Linked DNA regions of Xenopus tropicalis. The protein of the gene in region 2 binds, or shares a complex with, the protein of the main gene of each other region. Links are inferred from orthologs where the notes say so. Each region holds a gene or a part of one and is shown on either strand. Other genes may lie near its edges.

Region 1 (6,491 bases), on a different chromosome or scaffold from region 2:
TGCTTGTCTACAACTCCCAGCATACTCTGTCATATTATCAAGAGTTACATCATGCAGAAAAGTGTAGTGTATCAGTATCTATCAATATCTAGCCCCAAACTTCTAAGGTATATTCTGTGGTACATCTGGTGTATAAATAAAGTAAGATATCAGCAATAACTGGCATGAATTATATTTTTTTATTACTCATACAGGTATGGCGTATATTATCTGGAATGCTTGTCATTTCCCAGATATGGGTTTATTTTCATAATTCACCATACCATGTGTCTACTATAAAAAAATAATGTAAACATTAAGGGGCAGATTTAGATCTTAATACATAAAAACTCAACCACGTTCTATACATTCCTATGGGATTTTTAGAAGTGTATTTATCAATGGGTGAAAGTTGGAACTTACCATTTGATAAATATGCTTGTAAAAATTCCATAGGAATGAATAGAACGTGGGTACGTTTTTATATATTAAGCTCTAGACTCACATTCTGATAGATCTGCCCCTAAATATAATCAAGGTCAAGGATTATGATTTTTTTTTATCCACCAATATGGATACATGCACCTTAGTTACCATCAAGTACAAACTACTGTTTTGTTATTACAGAGAAAAAAGAAATTATTTTTAAAAATGTAAACAAGAGAGGAGTAGGCAGAAGAAAGGGGAGATCAGAAGAGGAACAAGAAGTGGGAGAGAGGAAGGATACTGAATACAATTATAGTGTTACAGAGATGTTTAAATTACCGGTTTTGCTATAGTTTTGCACATCTGTGGCACAATCAAGGGGAATAAAGAATTAAAGGATGATGGTAGTATTGCAAGCAGAGTTAGTGGAGGACTCATGCAGAGGTATAATCCTATCCGCACAATTGGATTTGTTGTAAAAGCAGAGCCACCTGTGGCTTTTTAATAAACACTCCTAAAATCTTTATTATTGGGGGAGCAGAGGATAGGAAATACTTAATAGGCCTGATGTACTAATAGCTCACTCTTTACACTATCATTTGTAAGAAACATGGTTATCCTTATAAATGGCTCCTGGCACCCTATACTTACATGCCTGTTTTAGCATTACCATTGCTCAGCCAGGAAAAAGAATGGTGGTGTCCTACAGTCTGTGCAAGTCTGTTTGTTATTCAGCTCCTTAAATTAATTCACTGATATTCTGTTATTAAATAAAAAGATCTCTGAAAATACAGACCTTGAAGAGGACAACGATCGTGTGGATGTAAACTAAAAATGGAAAATAATGTGCTTCTAATTAGGAAAACTGGATGCGTGCCCTTATCATCATTATTGCATTTTGGCTTCCAGGATTTTTCACTGCCAATTTGTGCATAAACACAAAAGTGGCAAACAGTTTCTTACTGGGTTTGTACAAGGAAGGAGAATCAAATGTGCTGTTTCCACTTTCCTCTGAAACATTCTAGCTATAGGCACTTAACTTGGCTCCTCAGGATTTTTGTCTCCATTAAGGCTATTACCAGACGGGACATCAGCCGATCTGCTGGCTTCTGCTCCCTCCTGTGTCTGCACTGAGAGGTGCTGCATCGGCACGGGTGCAGAAACACAGAGCGGATTTTGGCTTCCTTTCTGTGTGCTGCTAAACCAAGCCACTGGCTGGGATAAGGGTATGGGAGGGGATTTGGAAGAATCAATAATCTAGGCCTCCTAAAGAAGTTATGCTGCCATGACTGAAACAGAGAATCTGCTATTTCTGGGTACTATCTTGTATGCATGTTACTGTGTGTGTGGGTATCTAATGCGCAGGTGTAAGCAGCAGTCCTGCCATACACAAGGTATCATTAGCTGTGAATGGACCAGGAGAGCTGGCAGCTGAAAGTAGGTGAGAAGTGGCAGACTGAGGGCAAACCCTAGGCTCAGTAGGGCTGATGCTGTGTGATACTCTTACCACATGTAAAGCATTCATTATAACTTAAATTGTACACTGAACAGATCAGTGGTTTCCCTTCAGAACTGAGGGGTCTCTGTCTTTGTGTTCCAGGACATGCAGGATACCTATTATATCTCCCTCAGAATTCTCCGGCCCGTTTTGGAGAAGAGGTTGACAACAGGAGGCAAGAACAGAGCGCAGAGCATCGGATCGCCCGCAAACTGCAGTGTATTGGAGACCAGTTTCACAGGTTTCATCTGCAGAGAGTAATTCATTACTTTTTCTATATGATCTAGGAGTCAGGGGTTAAGAGAAATTTATAAGTCAGGATCATTGTTTAACCACAGGCAACTCCTTTCTAAGGACAACATTAGGATTCTACCTGTAAAATAATGGTGTAAACACACAAAAGACTAATTATCAGTCTTGCATTCTAAGAACCAAAAAGGAGCATCCAGCAAAATGGGGGCTAAGGAATTTAGCATTTTTAGGCTTTTTCATCTACCTCAAATGTCATATCTATCTACATAGGAAGATTTTACAGTTTGTTGTGAAAATAGATTAGAATCTACTATGCTTTTTTATCTTATAAAGAGAACACATTTTTTTTCCTCAGGCCATTGTTTTTTGGCAAAGAGAATTGATTTAAATTTTAAATCATTTTCTTTTTTGAAGTGGTATTTCACAGGCAGGAACATGGTACTTCCATGGGCACAGATCTATACCCCCAACCATGCTGGATAATTTTTGCCTTTGGAAGGGAAGGTATGTATGGGCAGAATCTGTGTAACTCGTCTGCTTTGTATTCTTGACTAGGGTGTTTAGGGTGAAATGGAATCCTGAATCTGTGATCTAATAATATCAATATCTTAAATATACAGATTACTATGAGCATGTAAATAAGTGGGATTAATAAAATATGTTTAATGTAAAGTAAGAATTTAAAATATTTGTTTTACTTTGCTTGTATTTAACACGGTATATCCCCTTCAACATGAGTTCAATGAATTGGGTTTATGCTGAACATACTCTGCCCATTGTTTTAATAATAAAAAAATAGTTTTTGTTATTACTTGAGCTTAATAGGGCAAACAGGGAAACTGAAGCTACTCCTGTGTTTGGCTCTTGCCAGCTAGATAATTAGATTACCACTAATTACCCCTAATTATCTACCTTGCAAGGACCAAACATGTTGAACAAGGGGGTATACTACCCCTTTAGGGTGATGGCCCAAAAGGGAGATTAGTCTCCTGCAGTTAAATCTTTGCTACCACAGGGGATTAATCTCCCCGAAGTGCCTATCCATCAGCAACAAAGTGAATCGCCGGTGGGAAGGCATACACGTCACATCATTTTCCAAAGTCACACAAAGTTTCCTCCTGAAGGAAACTTTGGGCAACCTTGGAAAACAAAGCGCTGCACAAGCCTTCACAACAGCGATTCACTTTCTTGCTGGTGGGAAGGCATTTTGGGGAGATTAGTTGCCCATGGTAGCCTAGAATTACCGTGGGTGTGTAATCTCTCTTGAGCCGTGGCCCTTAACGTTAAAGGTTTTTTGAGAAATTGTGGTCAGAGCTTAGTTTGATTAGATGGAAATCCCATGAGCACTTTGTTAAATGGAGTAGACACAGGGAAAGTTATAAAGACTGCCTGAAACATCCACGTGGTGGATTTTCTGTGGATAAATGTGCGCAAGTATGTTTCATATATTGTGTTTGAAAGTTCAGATAAATGTTTTAATGAGTGCCGTTAATTATGCAACGAACGCAGTGGCAGAACTATAAAGGAAGCCATCCCACGGTTGCAGGGGGGCCTGGACTATGGGGTCTACTTCCTCTATAGGTCTAAGAAGTTTCCCTTCCCCAGGCGCTTCTTACCTACTTAGCGGGAGTGGTAGAGGGATAGCTGGGTAGGTGCGTGCTGGGTCCTTTAAAGATATTTTCTGCAGGGGGCCTGGTGTAACGCTGTTATGCCACTGAATAAAAGGCAAAAGGTGTATTGATATAGAAAAACACTCATACTTACATCTAAAACAAATCATAGACTCATGAATAAATGCATATAATCGCTCCAGCTTGTGGGTGTAGTCTTTCCCTTAGACACCTATATTTGGGTGACAAGGCAACATTTATAGTTATGGACCCAGGCACAAGGGTGTTAGTGGATATATGCTTTGTGAGCTCTGTTGCCAGCAACTTCCAAATTAACTGTTGCTGGAAAAATGTTGACAGACCAATCTTTTGTCAGTCATGGATCAGCAGGACATTCCCAGATGATTGGTTTGGCAGCCTTCGGCTACAAACAGCCAGTTGCAATTAGGAGCAGTTGGTGACTAGAGAAAAAGAGACCAGTTTTAGGGCAGGTAAACACATACGCTTGACTCAATGGCCAAGAAACTTAGGACAGAAGAAGATCCAGCAATAAAGGCCAGATTCTTTTCTGTGAGGAAAAATAAGTCCTCACTCATGGTATAAGTTGGTTCACTGACAGTTACACCACTTGCTGCCATTCATGTCTTCCACACAGCTATTACCACATATTATCAAAGTTGTGCTGTTCCAAGTCCCTACTACACTTTAATCAATAAATCGTTGATGAGCGCCAGCTATAAACCGTACTGTTACTCCATCATACTTCGTACTTTCTTTTTTTTTTCCTCAGTTTTAGCTGATGTCAAGGAGCAGCACTGGTAGAACAGGTTTAACAGAAATCTGACTCCTTTCTCTCGGTTTATTTTAATCCAGTGACTTTGTGTCAGGGAGCAGAGAGGGGGGAGGAAGACAGAACGTGGCCAAATAAAAGAAAAATAAATGAAAACACAGAGATGGTGAAAGCAAACTGACACCACACTCGCCCAGCCATACTCCCTCCTTTTTCCCTGGCCCCAGATAGAGTTGTCTCTGAAGCACAGGGTGGAGCAGACTGAGGTTGGCAAGGTGCAGTGGGTGTGGCTTGTGAGTTCTTAGCCGCTGGGCTCCCATAACAACTGACAGCAGACTCATGAACTTTTAACCACCCTTTATAATCCACGGCTAGTTGACAGCTTATGACCACAAGGATCCTGCCAGTTTCTATAGGACCAGTATGTATGTGTGTTGCATGTGGTCCAGGGCATATGTGCACCAATGTGGAACTACCTGTTTTGGAATACAGACAGAACAAGATGTTGAAATGAAAGTTGCAGACTGATACAGTTCTTCAAGTATCGCCAGTCATAGGGAAGATCCACTTGCATAAATCTTTCTCATAGCCCTGCACTAGCAAGTCATTGGAATCAGCACAGGGGTTGTTGTTGCAGAACAGGAAGTAAAAAGGAGACCTTTCAGCTAAGAAACCGCCAGAAACCATTGCTTTTTTTTGTAAAAATTAGAGCTCATGTAAACTGACCTATTTGTATGTGTGTGATTTTGATTTGGACCAACTGGTTGTACTATCAGCACCTGGTGTTTTTATTGTGGGTTGCATTGGTCCGTGGACCCCATTAGAAGTAACTGTGAGTGTTGGAAGTAACTGCATTCTGGTTCCACTGTCTACCATGAAAATAATTACATTTCCATGTGTATGAATTCATGTGTGAATTGGTTTTTGTAATACAAGATGGATACAATTTTACATTGAAAAACAGCTTGTCATTTAAAAATGTGAAGTTGCATAAAAATGAATGAGATGCAACAAATCTGTAGATTTTGGATTTGTGCCGTAAACAAATGATCCACAAAAGATTCGGTTAAACCATAATTTGCTTATTCAGATTTTTAAACAAAAAATGGCATTATCTGTAAACAAATCTGTAAAAAAAAATGTAATATTCAGTTGTCTTGAACATGACTTTGGTGAAGTCAAATGAACAGTTGCAGTTTGACCAAATCCTTGAAAAAGGATTTAACAGTATCCCAAACCTAGTGGGGCCCAAGGAAGCCAGTAGTCTGATTAATGTTCCACAAAGGGGTCAGGGCATATGGTTGAGGCCATGACTTGGAGCGCTATTTAATTAGGCTTTTTTTTTTTTTTTTTTTTTTTAATATTTGTGCCAAACTCTGCATAGTTGACAGGGTCCACCACTCAGGGGACCCAGGCATATGGTGGTCTAATAACTTGGGCCCCTGGGGGGAGAGTGCTGCTTACTAGTGTATGTAGCTGATGGTTGCATTACCAACACAGAATCTTAAATTCAGGGCAACTTTCCAATACAATTGCCTTATTAAAAATCACATTTCTTTGTGAGGCGATGTGTATTTCTGCTTTTACTACAGGGCCAAACTCTAATTATTTGACTGGCCCACCCATTGGCTAGGACCTATGAGATGATATCATTACACAGGAATACAATGGAGCTCATCACAGTACATACAGTTCTGCAGCCTAACTTCTTATTATGGGCAAGTTACTTCCTGTTCCTGATAAGGCACAATTTGGTAACTTGCTTTTGGACAGAGTTATCACCATCTCTCCCTACTATACCTGTTATCCCACAGCCTCAGTCCCTTCCCAGAGGCTATTATCCCACTGCTACTATAGGCGCCATCTCTCCCTACTATACCTGCTATCCCACAGCCACAGTCCCTTCCCAGAGGCTATTATCCCACTGCTACTATAG
Region 2 (5,716 bases):
AATAGAAACCACCTGAAATCCATAACTCTTAAAAGGGGGCATCTTGAATTATTTATTACCTCTTTAAAAGGAAGCTCTTAGTGAGAAATTCATTTCATTTACCCCCTGTGGTTTGTAAGGGAAGAAAAAAAAAAAAGCAATACCTCCACCATTAAGCTAATGACACAAGGGTCATTTTTTCCACCAGTGTACTTCAGCCAACAGAGACACGCCAGTAGCCAGTAAGCCTGTGCCCCAAATTCACATTAGAGCATTTTCAGGCAGATAACTGCTTGTACTAGCAGTGTCATAGGACTTCCATTAAAGTCATCAGAAAACAGCACAAACGGGTCAAGTGTTTATTGGCCACATAAAACCCACCAGCAGAGAAACTGCCTTGTGTGCCATTAGCCATAGAACTCAAAAGATCCACAAAAGGCCTGCTTGTCTTATAAACAGTTCATCTCATAGTCAATATCAAACCTTGCAAGATTTTGGCAAAGTCCTTCTTCTGAGAACAAGTAATTATAATAGTACAAGTGCTGACATTTTCCCTACAGCCATCAGGCACTAACAAACAGGTTGTTTTTTATGGTTGTGCCTTAATGCGTGAAGCAGAATACAGTGGCCTGCTCATGCCAGGACAGCTTTAAAGCTTGCACCCGTTTAGGGAGCTAAAGTGCTCTGAAACCCTTAAAAAGCACAGCTGATTTAAAAGTGGATTGCTGAACCAGATTGATGAGGTTGTACATCGTTTCAATGCAAAAAAATAAAAACCAAAGAAAAGCAAAGTGGGAAATTGGAAGGTTACTGATCTACAATCCCGAAAAAAGACAATGAACAAAGTCAGAGATACACCTAGTACTGCTTGCTGGAGGCATAATGCTTGAACTTATTGCAGTTTGAAAGCTATTACGGCGGTCATCCCACAGTAACAGTTCTTGTTGCTCATCTAGGTTGTGATACATTCATGAGAAATTCCACAGTTGTATTTTACAGAGAAGTCCACACAATCATTCCATGGCTATATCTTATTCTGTATTAAGACAAGGCAAAGATGATCTAAAAAGAAGAATAAAAAACACAAAATGTGGGGAAGGGTAGATTGGCAAGACGTTGAATCTATCCAGCAATGCCAGAAGCAACGGCAGAAGGCTGAGTGGCATGTTTTATCCATCGCTTTAAAGAACAAAGAGCTGAAAGTATGCAAGTGCTCAAATAAAAAGTGAACCTAGAACCCGTTATTTTGGAGGACTACGAATACTTATATAAAAATAATGCTGTTCACCGTTGAGATATTTTTGTGTTTTGTATCATTTTCAGTGTATTCTTCAGTTTGAGAGGTGAAGAGTCTATTGGATTCACCCAAGGACAGTTCCATTGTACAGATGACAAAGTCCTGGCATGGTTGGATGGGTTTTTCCATCACTTAACTACTGAGAACAGACAGAAGCAGCAGCATTGATTATGAGAGCCGGCAGAGACAGTGAGCATTTGCTTGCCGGAGTGTCTTTAGGATATGTGCTATCACTGTTGGCTTTAATATTTTTTTTGTGCTGTGAATCTTCAGCTCCAGGCTGCTCTTACAGATGACTTGACTTTCACAGGGCAGTGGAGGTGATCTTCTTTATACCTCTCCTCTGAGCCAGAGTTGAACGACCAACGGGTTCCAGAACGGGAGACAATGGATTAAGGTTCAAAGCAGAGTAAGTTGCTGCCATGGCTCCCTGCATTAAACAACACAAAGGTGTGAGGGCAAGTTAAGAAATGTAATTTTTGCACACTGCCTTCCTAGATTAAACAAATTCCGAATGCCCCTGTGCTCCAAAACTGTTCGGCATTACTGTATTCATAAGGGGCTGGGGCAGTGCAGCTTCTGTGCTCTTTCACTTCTTCCCTGGTCCCTGTAATTTACCCTGAAAACATTTACTATTTTGCTGTACTTTTTATTCCAAAAGGGGTAGCCATTTATTTTAGTGTTGGCATAATACAGAATGTAATGCTTTATAAATACACAATTCTGTATCCCCAAAATGTTGAAATGCGGCGAAATAAAAATTACATTCTGCTAAATACTATTTTATGATTTTCTTTATATGGTTCATATTGCCAGATACTGTCCATGTGTATATAATGGATTCATTCTATGCACTTGGACAGCTGCCCTGGGATTAATAGAAAGTATCCACAAGCAAGTTCAAGTTTTGCAAGTGCAAAGTTAAAATAGCAGTATTCATTAATGATATAAACAAATATATTATGCCAATATATTAGGCACCCCTCCCAGTGATTAGAATCTCCTGCCTAAAACCCCAGGCCAGTGCCCTGGTTTGCTAAAAACGGAACTGGCCCTTGGTACTTCTATAAAAGCTCATCACTGCCATTTTCTTCCGCTTCTTAGAAACTAAGGTTTGGCACCCCACCTTTCCTTAGGCTGGTCTAGAAGAATAAATACACTACATTACCTTTACTAGGTGTGGAGCATCTTGTCTGTTTAGCTGAAACTGAGGCAGCTGGTCACAGTGTACTATCCAGGGGTGCTTGAGTACTTGGGCTGCAGTTAACCTTTGATGTGGATCCACATGAAGCATCTTTGAAACTAGGTCCTATGGTAGTGCATAAAAATATATTTAGCAGCCTTTCTAAACAGTTATTAAACAAAATGAGCATCTTTAGAATTGATCATGAGATAGGATATGAAGCTCGCTTTATATGAAGCCACTGCCCTCTCAGGGAACCCAGAGTGGACAAAACACCAACACAACACAACAGAGCTTGGCACAATATACTGATCTGTAAATAGTGTAAAAACACTAAAATGCAGCTGTCCCTATTATACCTATTTATCAGGACTATCCCACTATAAAGCAGAAATAATTCTGTCTCCTCATACTATTAATATTATTTGAGTGAATGGCACTTCAAATGCAATTACCCCACTTTAAAAGATGGAAGCCAGTATCCAAACAGCACCAGAAGTCACTGCGCACCAGCCAAATAAGCACCTTATTGTTATGAGTGGCAACAATCTTAATGCTGACTCAGTGGGACAAAGCAAGTCTGGGAGATTGCTGTATAATGATGCAACAAACTGCAGAAAAGCAGCAGATAAGGAATACTGAGTAACTGATCTGCACACAAACTGACCTTGGCAATATCTGAAACAGAATTCCAATAGCCACCACTTAGAGAGAACTTTCCACTTCCTATTCTTGCTAGGATTTCTTCTGGTGTATCATCTGGCCCATTTGCAAAAGGAGTGTATCTGAAATATGAGAAAAATATACAGTATTACAAATAGCAGTAACCACACATTATATTTTATTTTTAATGGGTTCAAGAGCAGGTAACTGAACTGGGCAGAGCCTGCACTCATTGATCAGTATAACCTAGTGTTAAGTCTATTATGTATATTTCTGTATATGCCCCTGATGAAAGGTTTAAGCATCATGTTAACTTACCCTGTCAGCATAGTATAAAGTAGTACACCCAGACTCCATATGTCGCATGCTGCATCATAGCCTTGGCGCTTTAATACCTGAAAAAATTAGAGAAGAATATAAAATTAAGCCTAAGTATTTTAAAGTATTTATTCACAGTTCAACAATCAAATTTCATGGATGAGGTATGTAGCATTGGCTACAAGAAGCTATTAGTGCTTGTAAATGACTTGTCCTGTTTATGGCATGCTCATGGTATGTTTAGTGACAGAATTTCTGATAAATGTGAAAGAAGTATTTCACATCACTTTGTGCCTGGAAGGATTTCTGTTTAATGCAGGCAAGATGCTTGACAGTGAGAATATCGTGTACATTTTCCACCCTGTTGTCAAATACAGACTTTACTGACAAAATGGTTACAGTTTACGCCTTTTTTCTTAATGTCTGGGTGGCATATGTTAATAGGGGATACTACAGAGGAACTTTTTACTAGTCATATTAACTGTGAGCAAATCAGAGGAATAGATGAATTACCTCAGGTGCCACAAAATTTGCAGTATAGCATGGAGTCATAAGCAGGCCATTTTCTGCCCTGAGTTGCTTTGCAAAGCCAAAGTCACAAATTCTAATAGACTCAGGGTTCCCAGACTCATCCACGTAAAGAATATTGCTTGGCTTGAGATCCCTGTGGACGACCTAAAATATATGGACATGAAAAGACATGTAAAGAACATGTAATACATTAATTCAAATTAAATTGCGCCCTAGGTGTTTTAGCAACCCTATCAAATTTAATAACTTAGCTTACAAAAATGTTTTTTTGTTCTAGCTTAGTCTTATGGTCCCCATACATGGGCCGATTGTCCAAGGGACCGATATCAGCAGCTTATCGGCTCGTGTAGGGGGAGAAACGAGGGGGCCTGCCCGACCGATATCTGGCCTGAAATTGGGCAGATATCAATAAAAGATTCAGTCGGATCGGGGACCACATCACAACTTGTTGTGAAATGTCAGCATTCTAGACTATGGCAAAAGGGCCATGTTGATCACTGATCGAGTAGTGTAGATCAAAACAATGGGAAGTTGCCTTTAGAACTGTTACCTGAAAGGGTAGTGAAAAGTGCAGCTGCTAAACTAAACTAAAAATGCATAGCTAGTCCAATGCAGAAACACAGCCCAAGTGCTCACAAAAGTATTGGTACTATTATGAATATGCAGTAACCCTACAAGTCTGCAATCTGAACATCATACAGAAAGGTTAACTGGAGAGGGGCTGTACACAATAAAGACATTATTTTCTTACCCTAATATCAGCATATTTAGTATAAGTTAATGCAGCATGCAGGGCAGGTCTAGATTGGGATTTATAAAATGCCCTGGTATTTCAAATACACAGAGGCCCAAACAGCCCCCCTCACCAGCCCAACAGAGACTGTCTATGGCATCTTACTGCAGCCACTCTGGCATTTGCCAGAATTCCCAGACTGCCAGTCTGGGTCTGGGACTGATGCAGGGTGGTAGTTTGTAAACAGTACACCAGCTCTTATTAGTCTAGATACTACCTGTTTCATACTTATTTAACAGTATAATGTAAGCTTGTATAATTTTAGTTGCATAGTGGAACTGCTCTTACTCTACTCGCACATTAAACCTGAAAAGTGTCCTAACTGTTTGATGTTTAAGTGGAAGAACATGAAAATGCATTGTGTAGCATATTTCATGGTAAGCCTGTGCTACCATAAAGCACTACATTTTGCCCAAGTGATTACTTACCCACTGGGAATGGAGGTATTCTACAGTTTTGGTTATCGTGTGCAGCACTGCACTTGCCTCTCGCTCAGAGAAGAACTTTTGCCGCAGTATTTTATCTAAAAGTTCCCCTCCTTTCATTAGTTCCGTTACTAAATACACATATTTGCCATCATCATATACCTGCAACAAAAAGTTTATTTGTACTTTACAGTGAATTTAAACCATTATTACAATATTACAACAGGTAAAACTATGCCCAATGAATGCCCAAAAAAACTATGCCCAATGCAAGCACAAGAGTACTTTATTTAATGAAATGTACAAATATTAGTGTTTAAATGTATTCTACCAGTTTTAAAGGTATAGCACTCAGAATTACCCTTGGGATTGTACCATAAGTTTAGTATATAAACTACAGAATTTTTTATTACACTAGCCCAAACCCTAAAGAAATAAAGTGGGGACAAGCAGGTAAGCCCAATCATACTTACGTCTTTTAACGTAATAATATTGGGATGCTGCCCATATCGCAACAGTATTTCTAT

The links.
Region 1: the proteins of rps6ka3 (region 2) and bmf are in contact, whole or in part, in a crystal structure (PDB 8R58), measured with the Homo sapiens proteins. The link is inferred for Xenopus tropicalis from reciprocal best matches to the Homo sapiens genes RPS6KA3 and BMF. Residues at the interface, in NP_004577.1 of Homo sapiens: Trp252, Phe259, Phe268, Leu281, Ala283, Lys284, Leu285, Gly286, Met287, Pro288, Leu299, Arg300, Phe303, Lys304, Arg305, Asn306, Asn309; in NP_001003940.1 of Homo sapiens: Glu8, Leu10, Glu11, Asp12, Asp13, Val14, Phe15, Gln16, Pro17.

The regions. Positions count from the first base shown.
Region 1 is NC_030684.2:114,253,985-114,260,475, reverse strand, and holds part of bmf (bcl-2-modifying factor), read left to right. Parts: intron 1-2,005; coding exon 2,006-2,144; coding exon of another isoform or gene 2,145-2,160; intron 2,161-2,569; coding exon 2,570-2,659; intron 2,660-6,491. UniProt on the Homo sapiens protein: May play a role in apoptosis. Isoform 1 seems to be the main initiator.
Region 2 is NC_030678.2:43,793,724-43,799,439, forward strand, and holds part of rps6ka3 (ribosomal protein S6 kinase alpha-3), read right to left. Parts: coding exon 5,663-5,716; intron 5,352-5,662; coding exon 5,193-5,351; intron 4,116-5,192; coding exon 3,954-4,115; intron 3,518-3,953; coding exon 3,441-3,517; intron 3,245-3,440; coding exon 3,127-3,244; intron 2,586-3,126; coding exon 2,445-2,585; intron 1,707-2,444; coding exon 1,581-1,706; 3' UTR 1-1,580. UniProt on the Homo sapiens protein: Serine/threonine-protein kinase that acts downstream of ERK (MAPK1/ERK2 and MAPK3/ERK1) signaling and mediates mitogenic and stress-induced activation of the transcription factors CREB1, ETV1/ER81 and NR4A1/NUR77, regulates translation through RPS6 and EIF4B phosphorylation, and mediates cellular proliferation, survival, and differentiation by modulating mTOR signaling and repressing pro-apoptotic function of BAD and DAPK1.